Arabidopsis thaliana: one gene and its partner. The protein of the gene in region 1 interacts with the protein of each later gene in a biochemical or structural test. Each region holds a gene or a part of one and is shown on either strand. Other genes may lie near its edges.

Region 1 (4,920 bases):
TTGCGACAGACAACAAGGCATTTTTCCTCAAATCGATTGATCCATTGTGTTCTTATAGGCTAAGCGGATCGAGCGCTTACTCAGAGACGTATGGGAACTCTTGTCTCGCAGACTCTCAGGACTTTGATGTTAAGGAAGTGGAGGTAGTTAAATTTCATCCCTCTCCTTGAAAAATAAAAGCTTTATATTTCAATATTTTGCAACACCTTTTAACTGAAACAAGCAAACAAACACACCATTGGTTGATTGATTGTTGCAGCTATGGGGATTTGTGTATGGCTCAAAGTATGATGAGATTCTAGCTCACAGCAAAACAATGGAGCCTGGTCTTTGCAGATGGTCATGATCATTATAAAGAAAACCCAAATGAATTCAACTGAGATTCGTCTTTTTGTTGTTGTTGTTGTTGTTGTTGTATAAATCTGTAGTAAAAGAAATCTTGTTGTCTTGTAACTTGGCTAAAATCACATATATGTTACTCTCTCTCACTTGTAATGATGATTTTGAAATAACAAAATAAAACCACCTATTAGGCTCATTCGGCCCATTAAGGCCCATTAAAGCATATGTGTGTGTGAAGAGGGATTAATTTTAGTGGGGAAGAATCAAAGAAGAAAAACCCTTGCTACTGCTTTTCATTTCTGACCTAAAAGCTCAGCTCCGATTTGAAAATGGGGAGTAGATTGGGAGGACGAGTGGTTCATTTCGCGAATCTTCCGATTAAGCTTCTGATGCCTGCGAAGCTGACCAACATTCACGAATTCGCGTTGAAAACGATTCCTTCCGCGTCCAAGATCGAGATCAAGCGAGTCCTGGAGTCGCTCTACGGATTCGATGTGGAGAAGGTGAATACTTTAAACATGGATGGGAAGAAGAAGAAGCGTGGTGGTTTGTTGATAGCGAAAGCTGATTACAAGAAGGCTTACGTCACGCTACGTAGTCCATTGTCGATTTCTAGGGATTTGTTTCCGGTGAAGTATATCGAGGAAGATAGGAAGAGTAAAGTGAAAGGATCTAGCTTTGTTGAGGAAGAAGATGATAAGAAGAGTCATTGGCTTGATCGTAAGGAGAAGAGGGAGATTGGTGGTTATGGTAAAGGTAAAGGTCGTCGAGGTGGTGAAAGGGCTAACTCTCCGACGAGAGGTGGTGCTGCGGCGGCGGGGACGGCCAAGTTTCCATGGAGCAACATGAGATTTGTTGGTAAGTAGGGTTTATGAGCAGATTATGATCTGGGGTTTGTGTTTCTTTAGCTATCGGATTATTGATTTTGTTGTTTCTATTACTTGAGGTTTGTGTATTGAGAATCTGAATCATTGAAGCTCTCAGTGTTTCTGAGATTTGGCTAATAAATCTGAATCAAGATGTTTCCAATTGTTTGTAATCTTTCTCTTAGTGATCTCTGATTAGCTATATGATATTTGCTGCTCCCGAGTTCTAAAGCTTTTTTTCTTAATTGCAATCTATAAGAATGCTTAAGGGGATTAACTCTGGTGATGGTGCTTTGTTTGTCTGTTCAAGTTTTGAGAAACCTCTTATTAGTCTTATTGTTTGTGGATTTGGGGCTTATGTTCAAATGTTCGATCACATTACGCAGATGCAAAACGTATGATAAAATTGTGACAAATCACTACATTAGCCAATAAATATAGTCATCTCTGATCATCCCAAAAATCTCATCACTTTGTGGACTAGTAGCTTGGTGTTTACTAAATAATTGTTAAAATAATTGTTAGTTCAGATTTTGGTATTCATTACAGATTACAACTAGGCTACTACTCACCTAGTATCTTCACAAACTAACAAAAATTTGTTTGGCTTAAAGGTCTTTTTTTGGTTTAGGTTTTAATTAATCAAATAACGATTTAAAAGATTAATGAAGAAGACTTTGATCATAGAAATTTTAGAAAACATTCATCATTAAAAAATATTATTTTTTTTAAACACAGATACACCCAACCGCATCGACGCGCTTCTTATATAAAGTCTCCGCGGAAATCGTTGAATATATTTGGGCGCGTGGCGATTTTGTGAAGGTTGTCAAGTTTGTGTGCGACCGAGTCATCGTCGTCGTGCTCTCCTTCTTCTTCATCGTCGAGACCTAAGAAAGACGAGACTCTGATTCTTCTGATCTTTGAATCACACTTTTTCTTTTTTTCCTTCTTCTTCCAACGGAACGGAACATATGGCTTCGGTTTCACCTTTGGCAAAGTTTAAACTGGTGTTCTTAGGAGACCAATCTGTCGGAAAAACCAGCATCATCACTCGTTTCATGTATGACAAATTCGACACCACGTACCAGGTATTTACACAGATTCCTTTCACTTGTTTTGTTTATTCATTTAAATTCTTCTCTGCGACAACAAGTTTCTTTTGTTTTCGTTTTTTTATTGTTTGATCTGATTCATTATTTCCTATATTACGATTGTTCAGACGATTTCATCTCATATTGGTCCTAGATTACGTCGCTGATATCACTCTGGTTTTTCTTCAATGCATTTGTTTGATCACTCTGCTCTCTGTTTTTTTGGTTGATTTATCAATCTCTTCTTCTTATTATGATCAAGATCGATGATGCTAAGCACTGTTGCTTCTTTGCTTTCTTAGTTAGTCATTAAGCCTTTATTTGTGTTCTCTCTGACTCTCTGCAGCCTACCATTGGAATCGATTTTCTATCGAAAACAATGTACCTCGAAGATCGAACAGTTCGTTTGCAGCTATGGTGAGAACAATGTTACTTTTGCTCTTTACCTAAAAACTAACATGTTAATTTCAAAAGCAATAACAAAACAAGTTTTGATTGAAAGGGATACTGCTGGACAAGAAAGATTCAGGAGTCTAATCCCAAGTTACATCAGAGATTCTTCTGTTGCCATTGTTGTATACGATGTATCCAGTAAGTCCACCTTTGTTTCTCTCTTTGATTCACCTTCTTTTTTGTGTTCTTATGTGTTCAATCAATACTTTGTGTTGCAGATAGGCAAACGTTTCTGAATACCTCGAAATGGATTGAGGATGTTCACAGAGAAAGAGGTCAAAGCAATGTTATCATCGTTCTTGTTGGAAACAAAACTGATCTTGTTGAAAAACGGTAAATACAAACATTAAGCAAAGAATTGGATGGGATGGACTATATAATTCTCTCTTGTCTTATATATGTCAATCTTGATATAATGAAAAACAGGCAAGTATCAATCAGTGAAGGAGAAGACAAGGGTAAAGAGTATGGAGTGATGTTCATTGAGACCAGTGCCAAAGAAAACTTCAACATTAAGGTATGACAAAACTTCAACAAAGAGTATGGAGTGATGTTCATTTGAGTGTTTCTTGTTGTCTGATTTCTAAACACACCAAATCTCTTCAATTTGCAGGCTTTGTTCCGGAAGATTGCTGCAGCTTTACCCGGGGTAGACTCATATTCATTGGCAACAAAATCAGATGACATGGTTGATGTGAATCTAAAGACCACTTCAAATTCATCACAAGGTGAGCAACAAGGAGGAGCAGGTGGTGGTGGAGGCTGTTCTTGTTGATTCAAAAATACATAATTCCAAAACTTGTGAAGCAAACAAAAGGGATCACGTTAGTTTTGTGGTTTTCATCTTATTAACTGACACAGAATATAAAACATCAAAGAGAAAAGGATTACTATTTTTACACATGTGAATCTTTTGCCTTGTTCTGTATTTGATCTGTTTTAGACATTGACGGTAGCAGAATACAAAACCTTATTCTGATCACCACCAAATGAACCAAAGGGAGAAGGATCAACTGTGGTGACAGCTTCCTTCCACTCAATTGTACCCCAAATCTCACCTTTCGAACGAAATCTCGGCACACCAAACATCCAATCTCTCATCATCATCATTACGCTCAAGCCAGAAGAGAACAATGTTCACACCAAAACTGTTCACTTGACTGATATTCTTAGAGCCTCCAAACCTTTAACTATCTTCCATTCTGATTCCTCAGACTCTTGCCAAAACACTCACCGGAAGCTCATATCGGTACCGTATAACAACAATTCCTCAACTACACAATAACTCAAAAGATGTGGCCTATTCGTTCTTCCCCATTTACCATCACTGGGAGAGTAATAAACACTTCCTTCAAACCATTTCACTCCGTAAACCTTGTCTTCCTTAACAAGGCTTCCATTGGCGTTTGTTTTGGCCACTACGATTATCGGCGGGAAGGTTTTGTTGTTTCTTCTCTTCTTGGAAAACGAAAAACGTTATCCTTTATTTGTTCTTCTCTTGTTTTACTTTTTTATTGAGCCTTCAAACATTCGTTAGTGTTATCAACTCAATGAAACTTGTAACACAACAAGTTGATTAGTGAATTAGTTTGTGCTTACTCATCTCAGACATTAACATATAATACTTGTTAAATACTTTTGAAGATTCGTATTATCTTTGTATATATTTGTATACTAAAGAGAATAGTAACGATAATCACGATGCTAAGCACTCTTGATTCTACTTTTTTAACCTCTTGTTTGGTTACACGTTAATTAGGCATTTGCAAGAGCAAGTGTTATTTTATCAACATTTTGAAACTTGGAACAAAAGACAAGTTTGGGGAAGAGATTCTAAACAGCGAGACAACGAAGGAGAGAAAAGGCCAAAAGAGATGCTACAGTTTACATGTGATTGAAGCTGTTGTTGTTGTTGTCTCCGTTTTGCTTCACTCTCAGTGTCAGGTAGATCAATATCAATGTTCCCACACTTGATCTGCAATCCAAGACTTTTTAAAGTTAATACTGAATGCATCGTTAGTATAGATTTATACGAATTAAGTACGTAGAGGAAGGATAGTTACAAGATGGAGAATAGGATGACGATTTTCCTTGAATCAAATGAAGCGGCACGCTTGTATCTTCTCCACCTGTTTGTTGGTGCATCGTGGCATCGTTCGGAGAGA
Region 2 (8,530 bases), on another chromosome or scaffold:
GAGAGAGTTACTAACAGTATATTGCAGCGCTACATGGAACCCTAAATTGCTTGAGACTTGTCCTCTTCCAATATTTTTATAAAAACTAATGGGATATCTATATTCCTGGATTAATCCCAATCGAATCTAATACACTGACTAGTATAGTAGGGGTATGTACGTAGCAGTATTAGGAAAACAATTAGACTAACGGTAAAGGCAGGAAAGAAGAGTTGTTGAATATAAGTTAGAAAGTTAAAAAAGAATTCGGATAGAGAAAGTTTAGAAGACGTACGTAAGCAGAGAAAATTAATTCAACAAATGTAATTCAGCAGCGGAAAGAGACGTCGAAATTTATTTTATTTTTATTTGTTGTTGTAAAAAAAGAAAAAGGTCAGCGAGAGGCATTGACCGATCGTTACTCATTAATTTCAGCGACCTTAAAAGGAAATGAATGCTCTTTATGGGTTTGCCTCCAACCCCTTTCCAATTCCTCCACCCTCTCTTTATTACTTACTTTCCTATTCACTATACGCATCTCCCTCTCTCTCTATATCCACCATATATACATTTTATAATGCCACCTGGACACATGTGTATGTGTATGTTGTTTTAATATTTGACAAAATTTGAAATTTTGATCATCTTATTGTATCACGGGCACGTCAAGATTTCAAACATTGATTCATATTATCGTATGCATACACCATGACATATTATTGCAAGATATATCTCAACAGTTACATTGTTAACAATATAGATATAGTAGCTTAAACCGTCCGTATAATACGTACGTAAATGGACGAAGACGTATAGTGAAGGAAACTTAGGTCTTTAATAAGATATATAATGGTATAACTGTAGCAGATGATTTATCTACAATTCAAAAGCTTTATCAGTTTCTTTTGTTTTTTTCTTTGTTAGTCGTCGTACGGCCTAGGGAATTGTTAGTTAGGAAAGGTAGATACATAATGTATAGAGAGGGAAGCAACCATAAACATTTACATTCACCACATGCTCTTAAATAATTAATTAATGCCTCCTAACCTCTCCTTTTGCTCTATCTATCTACTTTAATTAATTACTTGAATATATGCTGCCTATAGAGATTCCTTTTTCTTTCTTCCATTCATTCCTTTTGGCTACTGACTCTCTCTCTCTTTTTTGCTCTCGATTAATACTTCTACTTAATTAGGGTTTTGGGTAAAAAAATTCGCCCTTTTCACCATTAATCTATTACCCGTGTTGGCAAACTTCCAAGACCAGTCTTCTTTCTTTTTTGGCTTTTCTTATTGAGGGCCAATGAAAGCAACTAATTAATTTTTAAAGTAGGGTCTATCAAAATTAATTAAGACAACCCTTAAGTTGATTCCAAGATGCAGAAACTGACCATATATCTTTTCTTTTATCTCAACAAGTGACGACGATCCCTTTTAATTCACGTCCTTACAAATAACTATCTAGAAAGAGAACTGACCCACCAAAAATGGAATATGGTGATGATCTCACGCTAAAAGCAAACGTGTTTATACAAATGTGACATCGAGTGTGCACACGTACGTGTGAAGAGGGAATGATGGCATAGGAGATTGCGCCAGATAAAGACAGTGAGGACAACTAACTCCATATACTAACTTATATATAATTAATACAATGCATTTTGATATTCACTTTTTGTACAAAGGAAATGATACCATACGAGTCGTACGTTGCTAATATTCTTGGTACCTCCAAGTCCAACCGCAAAACAAAAGATGGATAGTTAGTTGGAGAGGATCAGCTGATGAAAACCAAAAGACACAGTTGTGAGAGAGCTACTAGCTAGTGAGTACCACATATATACGTATATTGGGATATATATATACCTTGAATCTTACACATTTTGCTTACATCTAAAATAGAAAATGAACCAGTAATTAGTTTTTGTTTGGATCCATAAATATCACATATATTACTTAATTATTTCATATAATTTATCACTCAAATTACATTTCTGTATACCAGTTGTAGTATTTTAATGAATAACTCTACTAGTAAATTGTAACATTCAAACAGAAATAAAAATGAAAAATGTAAATGTAAAGATATAATCGTGATCTGAAATAGGATGGTTTACAATACGTAAGAGAATACGAATGTACATCATGAGTATCAAAACAAATCAAGATTCATACCAAAAGGAAGAGAAAAAACATATCAACATATGCATAGGTTAGCGTCTTAGCGAGCGTGCGGAACCGAGGGTGCCTTGGTTTGCTGGCCCCAAAATGGGTGGGCTTTTAGGGGCCCAATATTGTTACTTACAGAGGCTAAAATGGATCCTACTGTTTTCCCTTTACAAAAACGGAGACAGGCCTTGTATATAAAAAATTCAGACCAAAGCCGCTTAGAATGAAGTAAATGATATCAAGACAGAACGTTTTTCTAATCCGCGAAACGACGCCGTTTGTACCGCCGGTGGCCGAGGGAAAAAAAAGGATTTGGATTTTGTTGGATCTAAAAAAACATAAAACACATAGGGGTGGGTCTCTCTCCTCCGGAATTCGATCACGACGGCAAGGACGACGCATCTCCTTCTCGTAAGCCATTGATGATCCCAATAGATAGCTCTATTCTGCTTTATCCAATCGCCTCGTCTTAATAATTGATTCAGTGATGTAATTGGGATCTAAACTCGATTGGTTGATTGTTTTCCTTGGAAGCCACAGGGCTGGAGATGGATCTGGTCCGGTGATTTCTGAGATTTAAGTCGATCGAGTTTCCAGATATATCTCTCAAGTAGAGATGGCTTGGTTCAGTGGCAAAGTTTCTCTGGGAGGATTCCCAGATCTCACTGGCGCTGTCAATAAATTCCAGGAGAGCGTTAAAAACATTGAAAAGAATTTCGACAACGCCCTTGGCTTCGACGACAAGTCCGATTCTGCCGCTGAAGGTGTTCTCTTCTTCTCACTTTTTTTCCAATCAATACACATAATATTATCATCCTTCCCAATAATCTGCTGTTAGTCAGCTGGGAATATAGGATTTGATTACTCAAGGCGCATTTGTTGATAGGACCTGCCATTTTTCTTCTTCTTCTTTATGTAGGATGTTTAGATCAATAATCTGCTGTTGCAATAATACAATCTTGCAAGTTATGGGATTCTGTCTTATTTTTCTTAGAACTAGCTTAGCTAGTGTGCTTCAGATTCTACCCATTGCATTTTATTCTGAATTTGAAAAAAACACTTTGTTTTGGATCTTTGCGTTTACTTGGTGACAGCTTTTTCTGGCTATGATTTCAGGGGTATTCTGTGTTTACCTAACTGTAGCACAAATCATTTTCTTCTCTAGTTTGTCTTGAGTTTCTTGTACCTTTCACAACAAAAATCCTTTTGTTCTTTCTTTTTAGATGCAGCTTCAAGTATGTGGCCACCTGCAGTTGATACCAAAAGCCTCTTTGATCCCGTTATGTCCTTCATGGGTAACACCTCTGATGAGAAACCTGATACATTGGAAGACTCTGTGCGTACAGAAAATCCGTCTCAAATTGAACAAAAAGAAGAAGAAGCTGGATCGGTTAAGCTAGCTACTGAACAAGCAGTATCTGTTGAAGCAAATAAAGAAACAAACGTGAGAAGAGAAGCTGATCAAGCAGATAATCCTGAGGTAACAGAAACTGTTGTTTTGGATCCCAAAGATGATGAACCGCAATCGCAGATACTTCTCGAAGAGTCCTCTGAATATTCTCTTCAGACTCCTGAATCCTCAGGTTACAAGACTAGTCTTCAACCTAATGAAAAGCTGGAAATGACAGCTTCTCAAGATTCACAGCCCGAGCAACCCAAGTCAGAGGCTGAGGAATCACAGCCTGAGGATTCTGAAGCAAAAGAGGTTACTGTAGAAAACAAAGACACTGTTCACTCCCCTGTGTTAGATGGACAGCATAAGATTACTTATATGGATGAGACAACAAATGAACAAGAAATTCTGGGTGAAAATCTGGAAGGGAGAACCTCGTCTAAAAATTTTGAAGTTTCACCAGATATCAATCATGTAAATAGGATAGAGTCCCCTGTTGCTCATCCGTCTTTAATTTTTGAGTCTGATGGTTCTCCTTACGAGTCTTCTATACCAAAGAGATCGTCGTCAGATGAAATTTCGGAGAGAATTGTGGATTTTGTTTCTCGTGAAATAGATTCAAGACTGGATACTAGTGAGTTAAATGAAAGCCAGCGTTCAAGCTCTGCGACAAATGTTTCCGACTCTGCTGATGTTATTCTGGAATTAGAGAAGACCAAAAAGGAAATAAAAATGTTGGAAAATGCCCTGCAAGGTGCTGCAAGGCAAGCTCAGGTACATCTTTAGATCCTCATGAAAGGTTTTGCTACGGATATGGTGCTTCTATACCAATTTTCTGGGGATTTGTTTACAGGCAAAGGCTGATGAGATTGCGAAGTTGATGCATGAAAATGAGCAGCTAAAATCTGTCACTGAGGATTTGAAGGTACAATAGAGTATGCGGAATATGGGATATTAGATGAAGGATTACTTTTTTCCCCAGTCTTCCGCCCATCTTCCTTTCATTTGGAATGATTTTGAATCTACATTCTAATAACCTCTGCTCTGGAACAGAGGAAATCTAACGAAGCTGAAGTCGAGTCTTTGCGAGAAGAATACCATCAGAGAGTTGCAACTCTTGAGAGGAAGGTATTATATCTTTTATCATTCTTCTCTTTCAATTCTCTTCTTTTCATTATATATATATATGCCTTCACAGTGCTTATCTTTGTAGGTTTATGCTCTCACCAAAGAGCGGGATACACTTAGAAGAGAACAGAACAAGAAAAGTGATGCTGCGGCCCTTTTGAAAGAAAAGGATGAAATAATAAATCAAGTTATGGCTGAAGGTAAGACAGCCTTTTGGAATGCTTGAATTATGGATCGTATTTTTCTCGTTATAAAAAAATGGTGTTGAAAGCGAACACCTGAAAAATGAAAGGACGTCATTTCTTGCTCAGCTTGAGCTCTTGATATTAATGCTAATCATTTCAGGCGAAGAGCTTTCAAAGAAACAGGCTGCTCAAGAAGCTCAGATCAGGAAGCTAAGGGCTCAGGTATATATTCAACGCTATGTGTTTCATTTTTATCAATACCAACAGTCTCATGGCAATTCTTATTTGTACGAGGGTTAGATTAGAGAGGCAGAAGAAGAAAAGAAAGGACTGATCACAAAGCTTCAGGTAATTGATTTTTTTTTTTTTGTTTCATTAACCACGTCATTAAGGATGAAACTGCCTGAAGGGGTTTTCTTGATTTCCCAGAAGCTTTTGTGAAAGGCTGGTTTGAAAATCAGTCTTCTTGTAGGCAGGATTAATATCTAAATAACTAAAGCATTTGCAAAGTTTGTTAAGCTTCTTAGCTTCATTAATTTTTCCTTTCAATTGCCAGTCGGAAGAAAATAAGGTCGAAAGCATTAAAAGGGACAAGACAGCTACAGAAAAGCTGCTGCAAGAGACCATAGAAAAACATCAAGCTGAACTTACTTCTCAGAAAGACTATTACTCAAACGCATTAGCTGCAGCAAAGGAAGCTCAAGCGTTAGCTGAGGAGCGTACCAACAATGAAGCGAGGTCAGAGTTAGAGAATCGTCTAAAGGAGGCTGGAGAGCGGGAATCTATGCTAGTCCAGGCGCTGGAAGAATTGAGGCAAACCTTAAGCAAAAAGGAGCAACAGGTTTTGTCTTCCTCGATCAAATTTGGGATAGAGTACTACTGGGATCTCATCATTTTATTTATACTCACCTAGTCGGTGGGCTCTAATTTTTACAGGCAGTGTATAGGGAAGACATGTTCCGTGGAGAAATTGAGGACCTTCAAAGACGCTATCAGGTCAAATCAAGATGTTTCGTTGTCTCTATGCATATTTCTTTCTTTGGTTATCGCCTTTTGGTTACGTTTGAACCATAATTCTAGTTACTAATAGTTTGTTCTGTTTACTGTTTGCTAAACCAACCACTCTTATAGGCTAGTGAGCGAAGGTGTGAGGAATTAATCACACAGGTTCCTGAGTCTACAAGGCCTCTCCTAAGACAGATTGAGGCTATGCAGGTAAAAAATTGACCCATATGTTTTTTCTGAAAGAACTTCTCCTGAGATTAGAATCTTAAATTAAATTGTAACATTGCATGCCTCTTATCTGATTGGCGATAGGAAACTTCATATAGAACAGCAGAAGCTTGGGCTGCTGTAGAAAGAACTCTGAATTCTCGATTGCAGGTGTTATGAACAACACTGCTCTATGCTATATTCAGCCAATTATTTTTGTTTTCTCTATCTTTTTGTTCACTTTCTAGAAATATTCAGGAAGCAGAAAGTAAAGCTGCAACAGCTGAAGAACGAGAGCGCTCTGTGAATGAACGCCTCTCTCAAACATTATCAAGGATCAATGTTCTAGAGGCCCAGGTTTTCTATGCTTTTTGACACTGTTCTTCATCAATTTTCGCAGCTTTCTCTAAATTTTAGCTTACCCAGTTCTCCTATCCAGCTTTCATGTCTCAGAGCAGAACAGGGCCAGTTAAGCAAGTCACTTGAGAAAGAGAGGCAGAGAGCAGCAGAAAATAGACAGGAGTATCTGGCAGCTAAGGAGGAAGCAGATACCCTAGAAGGTCGAGCAAACCAACTTGAAGTTGAGATAAGGGAACTTCGGAGAAAACATAAGCAAGAGTTGCAGGAAGTGCTACTCCACAACGAGCTTATTCAAAAGGTTCTACATTGCTTTATGGACATAACTTAATCTAATAAGAGTTAGTCCCATGAAAAATGCCCCATCAGTTACGGAATTTAAAGGACTGAAGTACCTAGCGAATTCAATCAAAGTAGTGCTTTCCCAAACTTTTTCATCCTGAGTAGCTTCTATTAACAACCGAACTGTTCCAGTTTATTACTCTTCTTTATTGTCCAAGTAGTTTCTCAATATGGCCTATTTTTTTCAGGACCTAGAGAGGGAGAAGGCTTCACGTTTGGATCTTGAAAGAACGGCCCGTATCAATTCCTCGGCAGTCTCTGAACAGCTTCCTATAGCAAGGCAAAATTCTGCCTTTGAGAATGGTGATGCATCTAGATCTATACTACTGCTTAATAAGTCAGGCATTGCACATCTGTAATTCATTAACTATTGCATCAGGAAGCTTGCCTAGAAAGCTATCAAGCGCAAGCAGCCTTGGAAGCATGGAGGAGAGCTATTTTCTGCAAGCTTCTCTTGATTCTTCAGATAAATTTTCTGAGAAGCGAAGCATGCCTGAGGCAACTATGAGTCCGTACTACATGAAGAGCATCACACCGAGTGCTTATGAAGCCACACTTCGACAGAAAGAGGGTGAACTTGCTTCATACATGACCCGCTTGGTAGGTGTAGAAAATATCCAACTGGGACATTTTTGTGTAACTCTGTTGGTAGGCTTTTGGCAATTGGCTTAGTAATGGGATTGAGGTTGACATCAGTCCTTACAATGGGACACTATGGGTGTTTGGATCATGTTGAGAAATTATTGGTTAGTTGCACACCGTGGTTAGCCTTCTTTTATAAGCTGGTTTAGAAGGTTTAGCTCTACTCGTCGAGGTAGTATAGGCTGGTTGTTAGTATCATCGTTATCTGTAGAATCTAACTGTAAGAGTCTATTTGCCTTTGGACAGGCATCAATGGAGTCTATCCGAGATTCCCTGGCTGAAGAACTAGTCAAAATGACAGCAGAGGTATGTATAGCGCTGAGAGTTTAGAGTTGATATTATGCTCAGTGTTATGATGATATTTCGTCTATATCTGGTAACTGTGGATGTAGTGTGAGAAGCTACGGGGGGAGGCAGATAGGGTCCCGGGCATAAAGGCAGAGCTGGAAGCACTAAGGCAAAGACACGCGGCTGCTCTGGAATTGATGGGTGAACGAGATGAGGAGGTAAGATATGTGAATAAAATAGTAGTGTATCCAGCATTAACAACAGTAGTTGGCATTGAGTTAATAAAAAAGTGGGTTTGGGTGGTAGTTGGAGGAACTTCGAGCGGATATAGTGGACTTGAAGGAGATGTACAGGGAGCAAGTGAACATGCTGGTGAACAAGGTAAGGCAAACAGACACAAGTGGAGTCAAAGTGTTGACAAACTCAGGCTAATGGGTTTGTGCAATTTTGGGTTTGCAGATCCAATGAGGGGCAAGGGAAGATGGTGTTGGCAAGCTCAGGCTCACGAGTAGGACCACCTAATCCTTGTTTCCCCAATATTGTATAGCTCTATAAGCTACCAACCTAAGCCCACTATATTCATTTGTCGTTTTGTCTCTCAGGTGTTGGTTGAACTTGAGGCTTTTTAAAACAAACTTTTGCTGCTCGAAAGAAGATTTTTCTTACAGTGAATTCGATCGTAAATTATTATTTTGGAGACGAGAATAAACTTTTGTCTGTGTGACTTATCTACGTATGTAACATGTATTGTCTGTGTAGTAGAAAAACGGTGGAGAGACCCATTAATAATGGGATTCGTTGATGTAGCAATCCATCCATATAGGAAAACTGTGTGA

What was found. Proteins that work in one complex are often made in the same cells at the same time.
Region 2: the proteins of RABH1c (region 1) and GC5 form a complex in vitro, tested with the Arabidopsis thaliana proteins (one study listed by BioGRID).

The regions. Positions count from the first base shown.
Region 1 is NC_003075.7:18,503,930-18,508,849, forward strand, and holds RABH1c (RAB GTPase homolog H1C), read left to right. Parts: upstream 1-1,989; 5' UTR 1,990-2,182; coding exon 2,183-2,299; intron 2,300-2,648; coding exon 2,649-2,719; intron 2,720-2,804; coding exon 2,805-2,893; intron 2,894-2,973; coding exon 2,974-3,088; intron 3,089-3,181; coding exon 3,182-3,272; intron 3,273-3,368; coding exon 3,369-3,530; 3' UTR 3,531-3,774; downstream 3,775-4,920. Other genes in the region: AT4G39870 (TLD-domain containing nucleolar protein), read left to right, coding at 59-143, 260-346; AT4G39880 (Ribosomal protein L23/L15e family protein), read left to right, coding at 672-1,208; AT4G39900 (adenine deaminase), read right to left, coding at 4,640-4,730, 4,819-4,920. UniProt on the Arabidopsis thaliana protein: Protein transport. Regulator of membrane traffic from the Golgi apparatus towards the endoplasmic reticulum (ER).
Region 2 is NC_003070.9:30,027,742-30,036,271, reverse strand, and holds the start of GC5 (golgin Putative 5), read left to right. Parts: upstream 1-2,370; 5' UTR 2,371-2,558; intron 2,559-2,681; 5' UTR 2,682-2,763; coding exon 2,764-2,911; intron 2,912-3,370; coding exon 3,371-4,314; intron 4,315-4,393; coding exon 4,394-4,465; intron 4,466-4,593; coding exon 4,594-4,668; intron 4,669-4,753; coding exon 4,754-4,868; intron 4,869-5,013; coding exon 5,014-5,075; intron 5,076-5,153; coding exon 5,154-5,201; intron 5,202-5,409; coding exon 5,410-5,694; intron 5,695-5,789; coding exon 5,790-5,909; intron 5,910-5,984; coding exon 5,985-6,068; intron 6,069-6,170; coding exon 6,171-6,236; intron 6,237-6,323; coding exon 6,324-6,422; intron 6,423-6,504; coding exon 6,505-6,723; intron 6,724-6,952; coding exon 6,953-7,067; intron 7,068-7,143; coding exon 7,144-7,364; intron 7,365-7,652; coding exon 7,653-7,712; intron 7,713-7,798; coding exon 7,799-7,912; intron 7,913-8,000; coding exon 8,001-8,075; coding exon of another isoform or gene 8,076-8,126; and 5 more. UniProt on the Arabidopsis thaliana protein: Golgi matrix protein playing a role in tethering of vesicles to Golgi membranes and in maintaining the overall structure of the Golgi apparatus.